Linked DNA regions of Styela clava. The protein of the gene in region 3 interacts with the protein of the main gene of each other region in a pairwise test. Links are inferred from orthologs where the notes say so. Each region holds a gene or a part of one and is shown on either strand. Other genes may lie near its edges. The genes, in order: peroxisome biogenesis factor 10-like, peroxisomal biogenesis factor 19-like and peroxisome assembly protein 12-B-like.

Region 1 (6,515 bases), on a different chromosome or scaffold from region 3:
ATTCAGGTCCGATTAGGGTAAAGATGATCTATGTGCGTGAGCCTCGGTTATAGTGGTAAGGGTAACCATCCGGCAATTCTGGGAGTCGCCCACGACAGCGGGGAATCCAGCGGTCATCCCCTGCGTAACAGCGCTATGCAGGGTAACCATATGTCCCATAACCATTGCCCATCTCTAACGCTAATATTAATCCTGGTAATTAGGTGGGTAACTTTGACGGATTTGCAAAATTGAATATCTACCTACGTGTGACAGGCGGCAAACTTAGATACCTGTGCAGTGTTTTAAAAAACGCAGGTTGATGTGTGATCAATTTTAGGTCGTTCAAATTCGTTAATGCGAAAATATGTTGGGTGACTTTCCGGGTAGGCCTTTAAATTAAATTGGGCAATGTAAATAAACCTCGCATTTGCATTTTAATCATCTTACTTGGAGATGAGTGGCCGCTTCCGATCAGCTTGTCAGTTGGCCCTGGGGACAACTGCATATAGTTTTTACGATGCACATGGAGGAGGAGATAAAACAAATACCATCAGTAAATGATTGAAAAATATATATACATGGTGTTCATATTGTCCCTTTTCAACTTTGTTATAAAGTTAATCAAGTTTGTTGTTTTATACTTACTTCATACAATACATCCGAGGGCCAAACCAATATATGACATCAATAAACTCCCTTTGCAATTTTAAAATTTTTCAAGCCTTCATGGGTAGGATAGGATTTACATATTTATCCCGGGGGAGTGGAAAGCCGATAGGACGGCTTATCCATATGGCGAACCACGGCCTCTCGTCCGGTTACCATTTCAAGTCGGGTATGGGATTAGTTTTTACTGTATTGTTTGTTTTCGGAAGCATGGACTTGGTGGTGGAGGAAGCCGTAACCGACCAGCGGTTACGTGAACCACCCAACGACGGCGAGGAGTCCAGCAATCCTCTCGCACATAACCATCCCTGCATGGGATTCGAACCCGCGAACCCACGCAGAGTAATTAGAGGTGCGGTGGCGAGCGTATTCCTAACGCTTAGCCCGTTGAGCCACACCGCCGCGGAAGGAAGATTCTATTGAAAGGAAGATTTTATTGAAAACATATTGCCAAGCTGATTATAGTTGGGGTCAAATGCCAAGTTGCCCAACCAAAGTTGCCAGAATTGGGTGCATGAAGAGGTGGGCGAGACCAAAGATGCATGAACTTGATAGCGAACGCAGTCGTGAGCAGAGGCGAGCCATGAATTTTCAAAGGGGGGGGGGGGAGGGGGGTCCAAAATTTCCAATTGCTCAATTAGACCGCAACAGCTAGTGGATTCGGCCGAATTCCCGAAAACGTAGGTTTTCAAGAGTATTGAGAGTCTAAAGTGCGTCCTAAGTTACGAAGAGAATTGCTACGTATGGTACAGAAGAATGTTTTCATTTATATATCAAAGAAATGAGGGTCGTTTGTGCAGTAAATGCGAAAAAAGCCTCACCCTTACTGTAACACACAGAAGCAAAGACATTTGCGATATTAGACAAACCTTAAATCCTATATAAACCAACACACAGCAGCTTTTGGCATCTCAATGGTTGCCCGTAACTTTGCTTATAGATGAGTCACATTTTCTCTCTACCTCAAATAAAAAAAAAATATATGAAATACTCGCGTGCACTTCATGGATGTCAGGTGGATAACTATTTCCCGGCTTTAGAAGACCACAAAATTGTTCACTATTTCATATAAAAGCTTTATTCCAGTAGAAAATTCACTGCATCAAGAAACTACTTTTAAAATTGCAATATTAAACAATGTTAAAATATTACAAACAAAGTAAGCAACGAAGTACGACTCAAGAATAATCTCTTCCAAGTGCACAAAAGAAAGCTGCATGTCACCATCCATTTATTTCAATGTTCAAGCGTGGATTACGTTACTACTGTAACATTTCAGAACTGGGGCACAATTAGGGATGACATTCAATAGGATATTGCTTAGATCTATATGGCAATACTGATAGTTATTGAGATCTTAATTAAACTCCGGAAGAGCCTCAATTGTACAGTGACCCATTGCTTCCATTAGTTTAGGTTTGAAATGTGGCTGGGTACCGCAAATTTCACATCCCAAGGCATGATCTTTTCAAAATAGCACCATTCAGCTAGGAATTACCCATACAAGTTGGTAAACATAAATATAATACTAATGTCAATGATGGGCAATTCAGGAAAATTGAACATGGAGGATTAGAATACCAAAGACATCTTATGATCATATCCGGATTAAAAAGCCAATGAATTAAAACTTCCCAGAATAATTCCATCCAAATAAACCAGGCCATCTTTTCAGTACACTGTGAATGTTCGCAAATTCTACAAATTTTATATTATTTAATAAAGTTGCTACATATAAAGTGGAGATATAAAAGCTACCAGCATTTCTCAAACTATTTTTGTTCCGGTACATCTATGACCAATTCAGTCGCAATTTTGATTCTTGTCCCGCAGTATTGCGAAAAAGCTTGCTGAACATAGTTTGAGAAACGCTGAATTAGTGCATAACAATCAAGCGTATACTTGATAAATTTAGATGTTGTCTGCGTAGCCACGAAGCAGAACATTCGAAATGGGCAACAATCAACAAACATTAGCTATATGATTATTCAATAAGCAATTCAAAGTTTATCAAGTGAAAAAAGTTGGTATGAATACAAAAAAGTCACTCGTTCGAAAATAAAATTGTTCTCAGTTACAATCTATTGAAAATAAAATCAATAAAAAAATCTGACTATTACCAATAAAAACAATGCTATGGGATCAGTAATTAATTACTCAAGAAAAGACCCAAGGTGAAAACTGCCTCAGCTTGAATAGCATGTGTGTCTCTTCTATTCGAGTCGAAAATATTATCCTTGATTAGTTGAGACATGATGCAACAGTTGAGGTTATTTTATCTTAAATAAATTACAGACATGTTTTATCTCTTTGTTATTTCGCTGCTTGATAACCAGCTTTGGTTACAGCTTCCCTCCCCAGTACATTGTGTGTTAAATTTTGCAAGCTATTTTTATACTGGATGAAGAAACTAAACTTGACGAGTGACCATTTTCAGCAAACGATAACACACGCAATAAAAAATACAACTAAAGAACAGACTTCATTTAAAGTTAAACCATAAGTAGAAAAAATAAGGTGTGAGTTATAATGTTATACTGCAATGAAGCGGAAGCGGTAACACCCAAGTGCAGAAGTACAGTCCATCAAAAGTGGAGCAATTCTGACGAAAGTTATGGTCTGTATTCTTCCAATTCCAAGAACCAATGGTTCCTTGATATTTGAATTGAAATTATTACAGACATACTAAAACAGAATTGTAGCCAAATATGACAATATCTTTCAGCTCTTATTTTTCATAGTTCTACCAGGTTGAGGTACAAATATATTACTTACCTAATTAATTAAACAGCTGATAATCAAGGTGTTCAAAAACTCTTGGTACAATTTTGTTATGAACCAAATTTTCAATATATCTCATACAGGTATATATTTTCTAGATATCACTGTGACATTGTTTTGAGCAAGCTCTCAACCTGCTCTCTTGTGTTTTCTGGTGAAGTGACTGTTTTCCCAATTGTTTTCGGGTCTTCAAAAATTTCGTGATCATTCCCACCTGGCATTGTTTTGTCACCAAAGAAATAAATTTTCTTAAAATTTTCATGTTCAATATGTTTTAGACAATAACGCTTATCCCAACCATCTGGAAAAACATCAAAACTAATCTGTCCACCAATGGAAAATGTCATTCCCTTGCCTTTAAACTCTTTACGTAGAGTTTCAACAAAGTCTTTGCGGATATTGTGCTTCTTGTCATACTCAAAGAAATCTACTCGTTCTTGCTGTGAGCAGCTACGTCCAACAGGGCATACATTGAGCATACCCTTCCTGAATTCAATAAAAGTCCCTCGTTTTAGTGGCAACTCTAAATTTGCCATGTATTTGAGACAGAAGTTGATAAACTTTTGAATAAGCTCTTCACCTAGATGAGATTGTATATTCGCTTCATGAATAAGTTTCCCATCTTTGTAGGCAACAAGTCCATTCTCTGAGAACAGATAGTCATAGCTATTTGCAACTTCATCAGCAGAAGATCCAAGTTGTTCGGTGATTTTTGAAAGATCGGAACCGCCAACAATTCCAACAACGACTTTTTTGCGAATCTGGCGCATGAACTCTTTCATTTCATTGGAAATTTTTTGCCTAGGCGCTGTGAGAGTTCCATCAACATCAAAAAGGAATATAACGTCTGTATTTCTGCATGTCATATCGCCCATTATACTTTATCTAGCACCCAAATTCTGAAATTACAGCCAAAAACTTGCGATCGCTGGCAAAATAGAATAGGTTATTCCTGTCGACGTGTTTGGCATAACGTGTGATCGAATTTGATTGGTTGCCTGGGGGTACACGCCCACGAAGCTCAATCGACCGAAGAATTTTGATTTTCAGTAAAACACATTTCTGTAAAATATTCTTTTGAAAAATATAATTCTAGAATATGTTACAATTTTAAATTAATGAAGTAAATACAAAAACGAGTAAATAAAAATACAAAACAACGTATCATTTATTTTCGGTCTGCAATTGTTCTATTTAGTCAAACCGTGGTTGTGGTTATTTTGTGAAGTCCGATGCATTGTTTTCATTCCTGTCTGGGTGAAGATATAATTTCAGGATAGGATTTTCATGATATTTACATTAAATAACAATTTTTCATGTTATAAGTAAATAAATTAAACAGGCAAATTGAAAAAATATAAAATTGAGCATCGTTCGGTCTGCAATTGTGATGTTTAGTTAAACCGGAGGTATGATGATCTTGCAAAGTCGACTGCTCTGACTTTATATCTCTTCGTTTGTTTTGCTTGCAATTCATAAATTACAGAATTATGCTAAGCTGTATGTAAGATTTGTTCTGGCATTGCGCGGTAGCAATTTTTCCCACCATTTTCGCCTATAAGAATCAGAAATGTCTCTCACGCCTTCAGAATCGTTGGCTCAAATCTCCTCTGCACAAAAAGACGAGTTTTACCTCAATTATCTTAGAGGTCTGTTCAACGATGGCACGAAAAAGATTTTCGGGCCACAAACAACAATAAGATGGAACAAAGAAATCCAATTACTGTCGGATATGGCTTATTTTGGACTCACAACTTTGGGAGACTTGCAGACATTAGGAGAGGAATACACTCAAATTATTCAAGTTGGTCCCACAATGAACCGGCTGCCAAGTCGTTTTAGTAGACTTATAATGATTGCTCTTCATACTTTATTACCATATTTAATTGACAAATTTCTATGCCATCTTGAAAACAAACTTGCAAAAAGCGAACATTTACATAATCATACAAATTTGCAAGATATGGTACAAAAAGTGCGATTAATTTTCAATGTTTTAAACCGTTTACATTTATCTGCCTTCTATTTGCAAGGGATATATCACACCATGTCAAAACGATTTGCTGGCATTCAATATGTAAAATATAACCTCCCTGGAATGTCACAGCAGCCTGAAAGCTCGGCTTTTAAGCTACTAGGTTATATGTCCTTAGTACAATCATTGATCGCACTAGCTATGCATGTTATTTCTATTCGCAATGATTTAAAGCCAGTAATAAGCAATAGCGAAGCTGAAAAATTTGGCATCAGTCATTCAAGTAAAGCTTCCATAATTGAAGAAGACAAACCCGATATGAAATGTAGTTTATGTTTAGAAAAGAGAAATCGTACAACTGTGACCCCTTGTGGGCATTTATTTTGTTGGAAATGTATTCATTCCTGGATAAATACGAAACCAGAATGTCCGATTTGTAGAGAAAGCTTGAAGCCAAATAAACTTGTTTGCTTAATGAATTTTGAATGAGTATTTAGCGCCAGATACAATAATTCACTATTCTGAATCTGTCCCCAAAATAGATTGCGTTTTAATATCACAGACATATATTGCAATGCTCACCAGCTTAAATCCTTATTGGAAAGTATCTCATGTGTTTTTAAGTTATATTCTATAGGCTATCACTTGTGTTTGTGTCATTTGTGGCTCGAAAATTTTGTGTCCTGATTGTCCAATGCACCCAGGTGCAACATTTTTGAGACACCCTATTTTTTGTGCCAAGATGAAGTTATCTCTCTGTATTAATAAATTATCTGTCTATTGAACATAAAATATATTCTAAAACCTTCGAGAATGCTCAATCATCATAAATTGCCAATTCTGATTTTTCAAGTGTTGATCAGCATAGCCAATACCAATTTTGTTGTTCAAATTATTCAAAATCATCACGAAGTTTGGTGATTTACTGTGTAAATATAACCAGTGTATTCTAATGGGTGGTTCTGAGCTTCCCACACCTTTAAAAGGTATCTGAGAATCACATTTTTGTAATATGATAACTTGTAGGTTTCTGAAACACCCACTTCAATGACTGCTCTCACTAAAAATCTGACTCTAAATAATTGTATAATTCATAGACTTACATTTAATT
Region 2 (7,725 bases), on a different chromosome or scaffold from region 3:
CTTGAAATTTATTTTGAAAAAATCTCATTTTTAAATAAACTCTATAGTGAAATTCTGAAATTCAAAATTTTTGACTATTAGGTACCTATTTTATAACAGTGATTTGAAAGGTTGAATACTACAACATATTTTATATTATTCCTGGAAAATGGATACTGCATGGATTTTAGAACTTCATAATGTGAAATTAATTTTCACTTTCGTAATTAATAATCCTGGCCCTCACCTTTAATATGCATGAATCATTGTTTTTTAATTGTAAAGGGTTTCTTTTATTCTCTTTTCTCATCTCTGAATAACCTGTTTTTAATAGATGTTGGACCAACCATCTAATAAGAATCTTACGAAAAAGCCTAAAAAATGTCTAAAATTCATCTGTTATGAAGTCATGCCATTCAAATCTGCTTTGTCATTCGGTATAGTTTTAAAAGCATCAATTAGAGGAACCCTCATCAATCTTTATCTTCGAATTATAGAGTCCAAATTGAACCTAGAAAACTAGACAATAAATACATTTGCTTCTTTGCTCTAAACAAGGATTTAGATAAGCAACCTTCTGAAGCTGAATCTTTCCATTTATCATATCAAAGCTCACCTTATTTCTCCCACTATGGGTTACACGGGGCTAAAACCTGGGGTAGTTGATCTTTCTGCTATCAATAAGGTCTCAATTTAAATCAGTGGTTCTCGAACTTTTTAAGCCGCGCTCCTTTTTTAGAATTTGTCAAGTCTTGCGCCCCACCTGAAAAATACTAGCTAACGATAAGCTTCAAATATCAGATAGTAAGGCGATAGTATGTTTTATTCAAAAACACGTTGAAAATATGGATGAAACACAAATAACCAAAATAAAAGAATCTAAATATCCAAAATAAGGCGAGCAAGATCAAATCTAACCTATTTATATTTCCAATTAACTTACGTCCCCTCAAAAAATTGTGGCCCATCGTTTGAGAACAACTGATTTAAATCATCCCAGTTCTTCAACATGAAAATTTTTTTATTAAATAAATTTAAACTAATAATATTATTTTTATTTTTTAGGCTCACTGAAGCAGACGTGATGACTAAAGACATCTTCAAATTTCACAAAACCCAAGTTACAATTTCAGTTTATAACGACCAATTTAGAATCCGTCCCACAATCAATATATATAATAGTGAAAATGATTTGATGCAGCTAAAAAATGCTGTGGTAACATATTTGAATGAAAATTATGCCGATTATATTGAATATAAATTGCCTTGTAATTAGAAAGGTGTAATGTTATAACAGGGTATATCATTTTAACTGGGGACCTGTTAGTTCCAAATATACCCAATTTTGGTGCTTGAAATTTATGGTGAAAATTATTGTTTGCGTATTTGCCTTTAATTGTTTTTTGTATAGCAGCCGCTTGAATCTGAGATGATTAAAAGATTTTTCAAAGTGGTGGTTAAATGAAATTTAGAATTTCACTGTTTTTTTTAACTAATAAAATTAACTCTTGTGCTGTTTCATATATGGTTTAACTGTTTAATATATTAATTTATAAAGTCCGAGCTAAACTTCAATATTTAGGAATAATAATTTCTTCCCCAGAGTAAACTCTTTACTCTACATTGGTTGACAGCCCTTTGATATTTGTTGAGTAGTGCCTATGTATATTTTACTTTTGATCAAGTGCCTTTTAAGACTTTGTGATTATAACTTGAATCAGACTTTTGCATGTATTGTGATTTCTGTGAGCCAGGGTTGGTGTCCATAAAGTCTTGTCACAATTTCCATTTCGTTATGAAGTCATTTCTTGATATATGTCAACCATTTTATTAACACTCGCAACCTTTGTCGGCATCGCCAATATAAGGCTGACAAATCAAACCCTGTTACGAAAATTCTTTTTCGTTATATCAATGATTTCTGTAAGTGTAAAAAATATATGAAAACCTGTAACTGCATTTTCATAATGGACTGAAATTTCACCCAATATTCACTATGCATATTCAAATACTGTCTTCTCCCGTGTGGAAATGAGCAAATCTACGAGATTTTTTAATAAAGACAAACTTAGTTGTAGCATATTCCTTTTTTCATTTCAAACTATCCCATTTCTGCATAAATTGCACTAAATATAATACAGCTATCACCAATTTGCCTCATTACATTTATTCTATTAATTATACCCACAGTGTATCATATATAGTCGATTATTAATAAATATTGTTACTGAGTATATATTTCTATGGTTTTAATTATGTTAATGCAATTGCTTTTGTGCAGTGAAAGAACAAATCAATTCTATTTCATATTCTGATAATACAAAAATATGCATGTGCAATTATTAATAGCAGGTGAAAATTAAATTAAAAATGCTATGCTAATATGCTTCATGGTCTGTTGATTTTGGGCTTTTTAATGGGGATGCCGAAACAAATAAGGTAGATAAAAGGGAATTTTTATATTTATCTTCAAAAGAGGTATAAAATCTTTCAAACATCAGCTTCCCATATGGTTAACAGTCCCAACCATATCTTGCACTGCTGTAGTTCACCATTACCTTTTTCACATGCATTGACTCGATGGTTGCAGTTTGTGAACAAATCTACAAAGGTGAAGTAATAGGCAGCACTGTGGATCAGGATTTGAATCCATGAACTCTTGTAGTCAGAGGTGTGATGGTAATTTACCTCTCACCCTTAAGAGGGACTGATATGATAAGAAGGGGTATTTCAACCCATTATTAGTATTGGTTTACCTCCTTGTCATTTTCCGTCACCTGAAAGATTGGAACAAGAAAAAGCATTTAGATCAATGAAAAATTATTTCCAGCATAAATGTATGTAAAATGAACTTCGTCTCGTAAATATTGTGCTTGCAAGTAGCACTTTCTGCAAGACATACAAGCGCATATCGTTTCAGAATTGCACTGTCACATTTGGGCTCCCAAATATAGTTGAAGTAGGTATAGGTAAATAGACGGTGTGGCTAAGCGCTCGGAATTCAACCGCACTTCTGATTACCCTGTGTGGGGATAAAGGATTGCTGGGCTTCTCGCTGCCGTAGGTTGTTCACATAAGGGTGGTTTTCACCGAACCACTGGTTGGTTACGCCTTCCTCGACCACCAAGTCCATGCATCCGAAACAAATAACTGACTAACTAATCCCATACCCGACATGGAATTGTAACCGGACGAGTGGCCGTGGTTCGTCACATGATTAAGCCGTTAAGTCGTCTCATTCCTTTCCTCCCACCCTGGATATATATATATATATGCAAATTCAATTTTAGTCGTGGTCGTTATAATAAGGAAACAGAAAAATGTATGTATGTATGTTTATTTGCCTCAAAAATGTAACAGTGTCTGCATAATAATTAAACAGTAAAACAGAGACGGGATAGATACATGTTCAAGACCTTACTGGTCTAAGATACAGTTGTGCGACATGTACCCCTAGAATGTGCCCCCGAAGTGTGCAATCTTCAAAATCTATAGATTTCAAACCAGACATGAATTTATTTGGTACCCTACAATTTAAAAAAAAATGCATAACTTTGCAAATCTCAGGCTCAACAGAATTAATTGCGAGTATAAATATATATTATGGAGACATTTTCATGCAGGTTCCGGATTTCATCCGGAGCCACTCCTGCACAATACCAACGCTCGATCGGATATTTCACCTCATTGCAAAACATTACTCGCTACGCGATTTACTCACCTGCAATCTGTTATATTTTGTCGTTATTGCTGCATTATTTCAAAATATTGATTACTTCTACGTGTTTAAAGTGAAGAAAAAACGTTTAAAATGGATTTTGATGCAAACGCTTTGCAGGATGTCACGGAACAGCTGAAAAATAATCCAGATCTTGCAAGAATGCTGATAGAAGAACAACAGAAAATGGAAGCGCAAAACCAATTGAAGGTCATCGTCAATAAACTGACATCAGACTGTTGGAATATATGTGTTGATAGAGTTGGAAACAGCCTTGGAAGACAAGAAACATGTCTCACAAACTGTGCTGAAAGGTTTTTAGAATCTGACCAGTTTATAAGGCAGAGAATGAGCTCTCAAAAACAGTAATCATTTTTGAAAAACCTAATTACATTTCAACCTTTTAGGAAATTGAAAGTCAGGATAAAAGCCTTTTTGCTACTTGAAATTATATCCTCCTGAGATCATTAATTGTTGTCTGAATCCAAAATGTTTAAATATGAGTGTATTTTCCGTATGTTCTGCGATACTTATGTCAGGTTTGGTCAGCTTCATTCAGACTTTGACACGATTTGGAACCACCAAGGCGTGACTGATCAGAATATTCTTGCCTGAAAATAAATGTGTCAGTGCTGCTATTTTTCGCTTTTTGACTCCCAGGTTATTTTGAGGTCAAATTGTGTTAATTTAACTAAGCCATTATTGTCTTTTGAAAAATAGCGTCTCCTATAGTGTACAGTCTGACAGTGTACCACACTTGGAGACTAGACCCCATTTTATAATTCCTCATGGCCATGTAATTTTGTTGTCATTTCCAATCTGTGTTACCAACGATCCGATCATTGTTACAAAATGTACTTTCTGAGTTTGAATCAGTTCTAAATTATTTTCCTGTAATTTTCTTTTTGTGTCTTTTTAGTCAAAAATAATTAAATAATAATGGATGCGGATTTAGATGATTTGCTGAACGATGCTTTGTCTGACTTTGATAAAAAGCCAACAGAAGTAAAAGTACCTGTAGAAGGAAGTGAAGAGAAAAAAAATTCACCAGGTTCTTCGAAGGTAAAATGCTGATAGAATGAATTTGGAGAACCATTTTTTTATGCACAGTTTTCTTTGCACCTCTTTTGTATGGCACCTTTTACTCCAAACATGGCCAGGGATGATGCGAGGCGCAGTTCTTACCACTCCATGGCAGCTCCTGCCACAAACGAACCGCGGCAGCTCTTGCCATGGTTTTATAGCGCTATTCAGTATTCAGTTATAACGGTATATTCACAAATTGATATACCCAATTTTAATTGATCATGCGAAATTATATCTACTCAAACCCTAACCCTAACCCCAAATCCATCAAAACTATCCATAAGAAAAACGTTCCAACTTACCCAATATTTATCACCATAAGGGACAGCCCTGTCTTTACGGCCCACCTGCTGATGATGGCCGCTACGGCCAAACCCATGGCGACTAACTTTCTAGCTGCCACAAACCAATGACAGGCTGCCATTGCCGCGGCAGCAAATTGAAAACCAATGGCAGGTAAAATTTTGCTGCCGTAACCACGGCAGGTGGGCCGTGAAGGCAGGGCAGTTCCTTATGGTGACAAATATTGGGTAAGTTGGAATGTTTTTCTTATGGATACAGTTTGGATGGATTTGGGGTTGGGGTAGTAGTAGATATAATTCCGCATGATCAATTAAATCTGGTACATTAATTTGTGAATATACCGTTAATACTGAATAGCGCTATAAAGCCATGGCAAGAGCTGCCGCAGTTCGTTCGTGGCAGGAGTTGCCATGAAGTGGTAAGAACTGCACCTCCAACCGGTACTGAGCTGCTATTTCTCTAAAGGCTTTAAAACAAGCATTCTGTGACATGCAAAAGGCACAATGACTTTTGAAAAAACCAGAATACTATCTGTTTGGAAATTTATAAAACCCTCTGGTTGTATTGATGGATATGGAGGTTGAATTTAAGATCCAAAGATGCGACGAGTAGCGATTTTTCTTTTGAATCGGCTTCTTTTATAATAAGGACCTTTATTAGTTTCCTCAAAGTAAAACTGTAGAAATGTCTGTAAAACAATATTTTTATATTCAGTCTTTAGAACCTCCAAAAGATGTTCCTGCCAGTTCACCCTCGTCTTCAACCTCTCAGAATGTGAGCGTGCCCCCTCCATCAGAAATATTTGATCAATTTTTTGACAATGAAGTTTCTCAAAGACTTCAACAAGAGTGGGAATCCGCAATGAAAGAATTAGTTAATGATGACCCAGAACTTGCGTCACAGTTGAAGAATCTTCCAAGTACTATGGAAAATGCTGCGTCAGGTATGATATGAACAAATGATATATATCAGTATCAGTTCTCCAATTTCAAGATGCCCTGACATTTAGTTCAATAAACACCATTTGATGACACCATTAGCACATAGTTTGGTTCAGTGTGCTTTATCCGCTTCAGTGTCTTTTGTTCGCTGCCTCTCCTAGATATGGCAAAAAACTGATATGGGTTTGGAACCTATCGATTCTATATAAATAAGCTGCTATCCCATTATACATAGGTTCAACTTGGGGACATTATGCTACAACACACTGGGGGAGGCCCCCAATTATGCCTCAGGAAATTGGCTCTCTGGGCAAGATAGCCAAGATATTTAAATTGAGTCTAATGAAGGAAATTTGTCTTTATACACCAATAAGAGGCGACAATGGTGTTTTAATCCAAGATTTCAATCTGCGATGCTAACATACTGGTAGTTAGGTACAGCGCTCTAGGCATCATAGGGCCTTTTTTACTACCCTGTTCAAATCTAATGTTTATTTTGTCTTTTGTTATATTTTTTAGGGGGTGCCGTGCCTTCTGCAATGAGTTCTTCAAGCAATACCGGGCCATCTGGAAGCAGCGCAGGTCAACGACAAGCTAGCCCTGCAGATTTGAACAAAGTGATGGAAGACACAATTTCTGGAATTGGGAGTAGCGCTGATGAACTAAAGAATATGACAGGTGCTACCGAAGAGGAAAAACTGCTCCAAGAAATGAGAAATTTAGGGATGGGGGGAGGGTTGAGTGACATGATGGGTCAAATGGGGGACATGGAAGGGATGGAGAATAATTTTATCTCTATGATGGAAAACATGATGGAGAATTTATTGTCTAAAGACGTTTTGTATCCCACAATGAAACAAATTTCGGAGGTATACCCTGGCTGGTTAGAGTCTAACAAGGATAAAGTACCTGAAACAGACTTCAAGCGCTATGAGCAGCAAAGTCTTGTTATCGTTAAAATTTGTAAAAATTTCGAGGCCGATAATGAAAATGACACCAAAGAAGTGAAAAAGCAAAGGCTGAACGAACTTATGGCTTTGGTAGAAAAAATGCAAGAATGTGGCAACCCTCCCCAGGAATTATTAGAAAAATGTGGTGGGGAGACACCCATGGACATGAGCAGAATATTTGGGGCTGGAGGAGGGGGATTCCCAGGTGGCGGGAACATGTTTGGGCCAGATATGAATCCTGAAAATTGTGCAATTATGTGATTAATTTTCTAATTATTTTTAAATATTTTCAATTGATTATTTATTGATAATTATTAATGTGTTTCAATTTGCTTCATTTAAATTTCATTTCATTAACACTGATATAATTTTTTAAACAAGATGATTGTCAACTATAAGTGTGTTGCCAGATTTATTTTTCAAATTTGTATCGCTGGTTTGAGTTGAAATGGGATTGAAGCCTTGTTTGACGGTGTCGACACCCACCTAAAAAGATCATGGGACTAAAAAGTTGTTTGGGAAAAAAGAAGACTCCCATTCTGATGACTCAGTAAAAAAAGTTAGCGGGATGATGGTTTTATTCAGTTTGAATACCACTATAATGCTAGAAATGATGCCGATCTCCACAGTTCTGAAAGGTTTTACAGGTTTATTTCTTATTAAATTTGGAAAAAAGTTTTTAGAGGTGACTTCGATTTTTTGCCTCACTGTGAAGAATACCAGCATTTTTTACATACTTGACAGCAAT
Region 3 (7,753 bases):
AGCTTATTTCTTTGTTTAGTCACTGGTCTATATCTAAAACTACTGTATCACAAAAAGTGGGAATTGTGAAATTCCTCACTTGGTGAGGTATTTTTCCTGGGTTAAGAACCACTGAACTGAATTAAACTTGGGGAACACCAAAACGATTTGAATTTTAATATGCATGCTTTAATATATAGAAGGAATCAAACCTGTTGCATAGAGGGCAAGTTATGTTGTCCCGAACTGGAATGATTGTTTTGTCGCATGATTCATGCGGCGGAAGAGGAATCGGTGCTTGTGTCAACTAAATAAAATAACTAGGTAAGTATATTATAATACCAATATACAGGAATATTTCGCTGGGGTGAGTATTAGGTCATACTGGCTGAATCAAGTTCTATATCTCAATCTTCTTGGAGTGAAATGTCACTGTTCATATCTGGGCTGTGGAGTGGAGTTGTAATTTCAAATTTTACTGGGTCGTTGTTTCAGACTTGTAATGGTGATGATCGGAGCAAAATTTTTTATATAATTCAGTATGATTTCTCAATAGAAGGCAATCAATGGCTCAAGTTTTTGCTATGAAAATTAGTCTTCTCCGAGCTGAGTCAGCTTCTAATTTTCCTCCAACCTGGGGTCAAAGTCAAAATGAAACAGGGTGTATTTTTCACCATGTATTTTTCACCAGACTCCGTACACGTGGTACATATGACTTTTCATCAAACTGTAGCAGTATTATATGCCCTAAAAAGACACATGCACAAAAAATTGCAAAACACCGCCAATTAAGTTTTTATCACAGCACTTATATCGATATGCTTTGTGTGGAATGAATGAAAAGTTCCATTTTACTTGATACATAACTTTTAACAACCTCAAATTACACACAATACAATAAGGAAGTATGCAGAATTGCTATTGACCTTGTATATTGCTGAACAGATAGGAAGTTAGCATAGTCACTTGCTGCAATGCTATGTATGAAGTATGAATATACTATCCGAATATCTTACCTTTTGCACTGTTGCTTGATTAGCATCATGATAAAACCAGTCTATGAATTGAAGAACAAAGACTCCAGCATGCACTCCACCAGCAATCATCTTTGTCAAAGCTCGGCTAACAACATTCCCGCTATAAAACAAAAGGGTTATTCATTTATTTGTTCCATGGATGATTGTTTAAGTTTATCAAAAAAATTCTCTTATTTTTAAACATCATGCAAAAACAATGTGGATTTTCAGGCAAATTAAACATTGAAAAAGAATCAGACTACCAAAAAGTATGCGCAAGAGGTTTAATAAAATCTAGCCAGCTGGCCAATATACCGTACTAATAATGAGTTGTATTGTTTTATCGAAAAGACTGAAAATTACAATATACAGAGTGATTCAAAATGAACAGAACCCAAGTAATGCGGAACATATACTAGATAGAAAATAACTTTCGTGCAAATCGTCCTAGATTATCATATCCTTAGAAACTTTTGGGTACAATCATAAATAAACATATGTTTACGTGTTGAATATATTTTCTTCATTTTAGTAGAATTTTCAAAGAAATTTATAGATTCCTTTTTTTCTGTTACGTATAGAAAATGCAAGCAACCCCATAAAGCTGAAGTAATGAAGTTTGTGTTCAGAACAAGGTTTTGTTTTCACCATATCTGAATACCTGGATACAAGACATACATATTTTCATATGGGTATCAGATGACTAGAGAAAAGTAAAGTCAAATTTTTCTATAAGTAAAATAACGACATACCTTGCTTGAGAAGCAGCTTGGGGATCTTCGACAACCAGTTTTATTCTCAATAATTTCAAAAATGGATCAGGGTATTTATTTTCATGAATTGCATATTTGAATTGAAGATATAATTTCCAAAATTCCCAAGATGAGAACATAATTGGATATAAACGAAAAATGAGTCTTTCCATAATAGTCACAGTGCATTGATTTCCCTGCGTCTCCCGTCGGTCCGCAATTTTATCATACATTTTCTTTAATTTCTCTTCAATATATGGGATAATACACAGAGTCACCAGGGTCAAAAAATGTCTTCTTGTTCCAAGTGTGTTATGTGATTGCACCTTTAAACCTTTTATTTTCCTTCGTAAGCCGTAATACATTTCTGCATAGGATGCAATGTGAGCTAATAAAAAATGATGTTGCACCAAAAGCTCAATAGCTGTGAAGATTTCATCATACCACGCTAGTAACCAACCAAATCTTGCTGGTTTGTAAGAAGCAAGAACCTTAAAAGAATATTGTTTATTGACAAGCTGATTATGAAGTATGATTGATAATTGGTGTTTAAATACCCTTCAGCATGAAGTTCAGTTTCATTTGATTAATTCAGATTAGGGACTTCAGATACACAAGGTGTCCAAAGTCTCTTCACAATTCAAAGGCTTATCATGATAAACCCTTGAAATTGTACAGATACTATAAGAACAGCCTGCATATGTAAGTACTAGATCAATGCCCATATTTAACAGCTTTTGCATATTATTTCACAACTTGGATACATTTCAGTGATAACTAATCAAATACAATTACCTATATAAAGTTCACATTTTGCGAGAATCGCCCTTTGTAGACACTTTATTTTTTTAAAAGTAGAATGTGTTGTGTAATGAGGGCACACAGCCTTTTAAAATAAACAGACTTTGTCTAAACCAGGCATGACTTCCAGTTACATTTTATCGATTATTATGGTAGAGAGAGTAAGCTTCTCCAAAAACCTGTTTGTCGAAGTAACTCATGATTATGCGAAAAGTAAAAAAATCCGCACCTAAAATCTTATCAAACTTACTTTAGTTAAGTGCTCAAAAGCTGGTCTCACAGAGGCTCGTAAATTTTCTTGAGCTAAAACTTCAAATATTGAAGGAAGTTGATATTCTTCTTGTGTTGCAACAGCTGTTTGTAAAGTTTCAGAAAACATGTCCGCCATGGCTTTAGATTAGAGTTTCATAAGTACAATAAATAATTAGGATTCTTTAATCTACGATCATCTATGAAAATATCAAAACACACAAAATTTACTTGTTTTTGAAAAAATATAAGGGACAAGAAATCATTCACCACAGCTATGCTACATAGTGAGCTACAAAGAGCAATGAGTCTGAGTTTGGCATGTTTTTATTCAAATTGGAGTCGAGGATCCAAACTCTCCTGAAGTTGAAGACAAACAGAGACTTGAATTTCATACCTCTATTGTGATTATTGAAGTCAAAATTTCATAAACTAAACACAAAGCATAAACTAAGAAACATCAAGATGACCAAGCATTCTCAACAGACAATCAGTCAAAATGTGTTTTTCACAGAATTGGGAGTTAGGAACTTAGGAGGAACTCAATAAGTAGACACTGTATTTAGTCAGTATCAATTTTTTGTCAGCGGGGTGTCGGAGTCATTTTTTAAATGTCTTGTTAGCTGAGACTCCACAGCACTACTCTACATTGATAAAACAGATTAATTTTTAAATCTAACAAAAACCTGACACTAAAAACGAAAACAGATGACTCTTCACGAATTCATGAAACTTCCAAGGGCAATATCAGTATTATTTCATTGTAATGATAAATGCTACAAAACTTTGTTTTTGAAGGAGACTCCAAAAAAGCACTGACAACAGTGATTTTACACAGTGATTCAACAATACAGTGATACTGTATTCACCATTTGGGAATACCAAAAAAAACTATATATATATTTATTCCGTAACAGTCGATAAGATAAGTTTAATTATATGATGGTTGGACATAATATGTATTATCACAAATACATTTGGTTCTGGCTTCGCCACACGAGAACAAATTGAGCAAACAATCCTCAATACACTGTCCAAGTCAGTTGCTTCACATTAGAACATTCTCTTGCAAGAAGCTCTTCTAATGCTATTCTCGAATTCTCTGTGATTTTTGGGCATCCATGAAATATCAAAATTCGAATTTTACGACAATACTCGATAATGCATTCAATAGCTTCATCAGTTATATTATGACACAATGCCATATGAAACTCTGTCAATGTGTTGCAACATTTTCCTTTACATATTTGAAACACACCATTATCAGATACCTAAATATAAAAGTTTATACATGTAAGTAAGATTTGTTTACATTTACAATATAACTGTTCTGTAAAATGAGTTTGGAAAATGCAGTACCTAAAATCGTAAATTAATCTTTAAATAATGCAGGCATTTTATTCTATCAAAACGACATATATGCATTTTTTGGCTCATCAGTTTGGTTTCTACTAAATAAAATTCGCACTGGAGTCAGAGGTACAAGATTTCAAAATATAAATAATTCAAATAACTGATTTTTTTCTGAAAACAATCCTCACTTTTAACTATTCTCAGCATAACTAGCTGGAGAAAGAGCCGATGTTCTCATTAACCCGTTGTACCCAGGATAAGATTTTATTCAATAAAGGAAGTTAGTTATATTCTATGACATTAACTGTATAGAAAACCATAGTGCTTGTCCCCTCTTATTCAAACTATCTTGAGAAAAAAAAACATGGTGGACATGTTCCAATTTTACCTTGGTTGAAGAGACATTCAGGCTTTCAAGATTAGGGCAATTCTCAGCAAGCGCTTGTAGACTTCTGTCACTGACACCAGAGCAACCACCAAGATTAAGATGTTTTATGCTTTTACAATTTACAGCTATTTGCACCACTGCTTCGTCACCAATGTTCAAACACCGACGAAGGTAGAAAACTTGAATCCAACGACAACTTCGTGCTATTTTAATAATTCCATCATTAGATATTGTCTTTCGGCTTTCTTTTGCAGAATTTAAATCAATTTTTACCAAGTTTATACATGTTTTTGAGATTGTCGCCAATGCCTCGTCAGTGACATCGCTTTCACTTAAATCAATTTCTTTTAATCTTGCGTGCAAGCAAAATTCTATGTTGGCATCACTTAAAATCCCTCTTTTTGATAAAATATACAAAAGTTTGCTCTTTATACTGGGTGGTAACAACTTGATATCCTCATTATATAAATTAAGATTATGAGCAACAACGTGTAGAGATGTCGTAAAAAGTGAAGAAATTCCACCGAAAACTGTTCTTTGTATATTGATCATGATCCGATGAAATTATTTGGCAACACCTCATGAAAAAACTACAAACAATACATATCCGTCTGGACAAGTTAAAATATAAATCAAACAAGTGCATTTAATCAATCACAACTTGGTACTAGTGATATTTAATTACAGACTATCAATTATTTGGCCATGAAATGTATAAGGCATAAAAACATAATCACTGCAGTACAGCAAAAAATAATATGAATATCTGAAAGACAAGCAAATGCACCATTAAAATCTTGGTTGAGATTATGAACCAAAGCAGAAACCAAGGTAACGGCAGTGGCCAATAAAAAAAAAAAAAGTGACTGAAAGCATCTAACACCCATCAATAGTCTAACCCTAAAAACCCACCCCACTCCTAAAATTAGGCTGAATGATTGTAGCAGTCGCGAGCAATGAAATCCGAAATAAATCAATTGTTCGAATACATTTGAAATTGGTTATATTCTTCATACTATATTCTTCATTTTAGAATTACCAGTAATTTAGAAAATTTAATATTTTTCATTTTGAGCAGCTAATATCTGATGCTCTCGGCAAAAATATCAAAGTTCATTCGAATTGTAAATGTGTTAAGAGAAAAACCAATTACAATGCATCACTGTGCTAAAATTTTCTGGATAGACAAACCCAAATTCATATTGATTTATGACAAAAATTTATATGCTGGACCAAATGACCAAATTTAGAATATATAGTTTTCATCATTTCATATCCAAAAATATTATTCATAATTCATATCGTCTGTGAGGTGCTGTCAATTCCTGCATAAAAGTGAATTGCATAATGCAAATATATGAATTTGAATGGAAATTATCAAATTAACAAATTTAACTTACTCAATATGATCATAAATATGTAAATAAGTCTTTATAATTATTGACTGACAATACACCTTTAGGACAAAATTTTTAGGACTTCAGTTTCAGTTTAAATAACAGTTTTACAGTTACAGTTCGTTGATGGTCTATTAGTAAAAATATTGTTTAATTTTGCATATCAGTAAGAAGTGACATATCTAAAATTTGCTAAAAGTGCGTTATTCCCAGCAATGATAAAAATTGAAATTCATCGAATATAGTACAAAATTATAACTCTATTGCATATTTCTATATTTTAAAGTTTGTGATTTAATGTCACCTTCGCCACGTATTTCCATTTTATCAGCGTAAACATCAATTGTTGCAAATGCAGTTTCATTCCCCCCAATACTTTTGGGAACCGCTTCTAGTGCAGCTTCGAAAGTACAATGATGAACCCCATCTTCATCACAAAAATAAGCCCCTACATGATCATGACCCGCAAAATATGCAACAATGCATGAATAACGATGAATTATATCTAAAATGTCTTGATTATTCCACACCAGACATATTTTACCACCAGTTGCATTTGGGTGTATTGGGATATGGCCGCACAATACAACAATTTCATTATGATTTTGTGAATGTTGTATAATACTTTCGAGCCATTCTAATTGATCCTTATGTACGCCTCCATTATATTTTACATATTTCGGATCAACGGCGCTTGTATGATCATTTTTTTCTTCTTTTGGATTCATTTTGTTTAAAATTTCCATTGCGGTCACTTTTTTTGGATGAGAATTTTCTCTCCCAAGAGCACTGATGTCGTAACAATCAAGAACAATGAAACGAAATCCATTGCCGGGTGTAAAATGATAACAACAAAGTCCATCTTGACGCATTTTCTCGCTTGTATAAAATATGATCTCACCAGAATTTTCACTTGTTTTTGCTGGTTCATTTGTAATAGAAAACCTTGGAAGTAAAACAGATTTCAAAAGATCGTTTCTTCCTAAATTATATAATTCGTGATTTCCCCAACAGTGAGCTATTGGTTTTTTATATTGAATCAAACACTCATATATTTTATTAAGAGCTTCGTTACTTTTTCCATTATTGCGACACATCCCATCTATTATATCTCCGAGTTGTAATACGAAGCAAGTTTGTTCTGAAGTATTCCAGTACTTGATTGCATGTTGTAGACATTGCAAACCTTTTCTATAGTACCGATGTCTTGTTTTGCTGTAGTTCATCCCATCGTCAATGTCTGCATATTGCACATCCGCAATTAATCCAAATGAAAATATTGGGGATGACATTACTATTACACCTACAGAAAATAGTGGATCGTTCAGATTAAAAGTTATTACACAAAACAATATAAAAAGTTGACATGGTTAAATTTTTAAACTACCCAAATCTTTGGTGCATATCAATAAAATACTTGGTTTAATGAATATTGAGATTTTGCTTACACTAATAGAGCTAAAAGTATTTATACTATAATGTACTGTTTAGATATAGTATTCAACTGTCTTACAGAAAACATATTTTATTTTTACATTTGATAGTATTTGGGTTGTTCCTAAGCTTTTGTATCATAAAGATGATTTCTGTAGGATATCACTTTTGGCAAGTGTATTATTTTCTTCTTTCATGGGTGGACAAAAGCTATGTGGCATAATTAATGATGAGTGAAAGTACTCTATTTTATTAAATGATAACAATATTAGAAACTACCATGGTACTGTATGAAATTAGAATGTTACAATGTAAGCCTACATCTAAAATTTTTCATATAATAATAATAATATAGCGATGGCTAGATGAAACAATTGCAGAAAG

What was found.
Region 1: the proteins of peroxisome assembly protein 12-B-like (region 3) and peroxisome biogenesis factor 10-like interact in a two-hybrid assay, tested with the Homo sapiens proteins (4 studies listed by BioGRID, with this or other methods). The link is inferred for Styela clava from reciprocal best matches to the Homo sapiens genes PEX12 and PEX10.
Region 2: the proteins of peroxisome assembly protein 12-B-like (region 3) and peroxisomal biogenesis factor 19-like interact in a two-hybrid assay, tested with the Homo sapiens proteins (4 studies listed by BioGRID and IntAct, with this or other methods). The link is inferred for Styela clava from reciprocal best matches to the Homo sapiens genes PEX12 and PEX19.

The regions. Positions count from the first base shown.
Region 1 is NC_135257.1:20,076,343-20,082,857, reverse strand, and holds peroxisome biogenesis factor 10-like, read left to right. Parts: upstream 1-4,857; 5' UTR 4,858-4,999; coding exon 5,000-5,893; 3' UTR 5,894-5,934; downstream 5,935-6,515. Other genes in the region: phosphomannomutase 2-like, read right to left, coding at 3,531-4,304.
Region 2 is NC_135254.1:4,399,157-4,406,881, reverse strand, and holds peroxisomal biogenesis factor 19-like, read left to right. Parts: upstream 1-4,618; 5' UTR 4,619-4,636; coding exon 4,637-4,759; intron 4,760-5,800; coding exon 5,801-6,029; intron 6,030-6,546; coding exon 6,547-7,238; 3' UTR 7,239-7,376; downstream 7,377-7,725. Other genes in the region: uncharacterized protein LOC120332696, read left to right, coding at 1,045-1,255; uncharacterized protein LOC120332725, read left to right, coding at 3,791-4,066. UniProt on the Homo sapiens protein: Necessary for early peroxisomal biogenesis. Acts both as a cytosolic chaperone and as an import receptor for peroxisomal membrane proteins (PMPs).
Region 3 is NC_135261.1:12,937,380-12,945,132, forward strand, and holds the start of peroxisome assembly protein 12-B-like, read right to left. Parts: upstream 3,049-7,753; 5' UTR 2,937-3,048; coding exon 2,799-2,936; intron 2,239-2,798; coding exon 1,748-2,238; intron 1,117-1,747; coding exon 996-1,116; intron 287-995; coding exon 192-286; intron 1-191. Other genes in the region: protein AMN1 homolog, read right to left, coding at 3,820-4,068, 4,539-5,090; manganese-dependent ADP-ribose/CDP-alcohol diphosphatase-like, read right to left, coding at 6,196-7,227. UniProt on the Homo sapiens protein: Component of a retrotranslocation channel required for peroxisome organization by mediating export of the PEX5 receptor from peroxisomes to the cytosol, thereby promoting PEX5 recycling.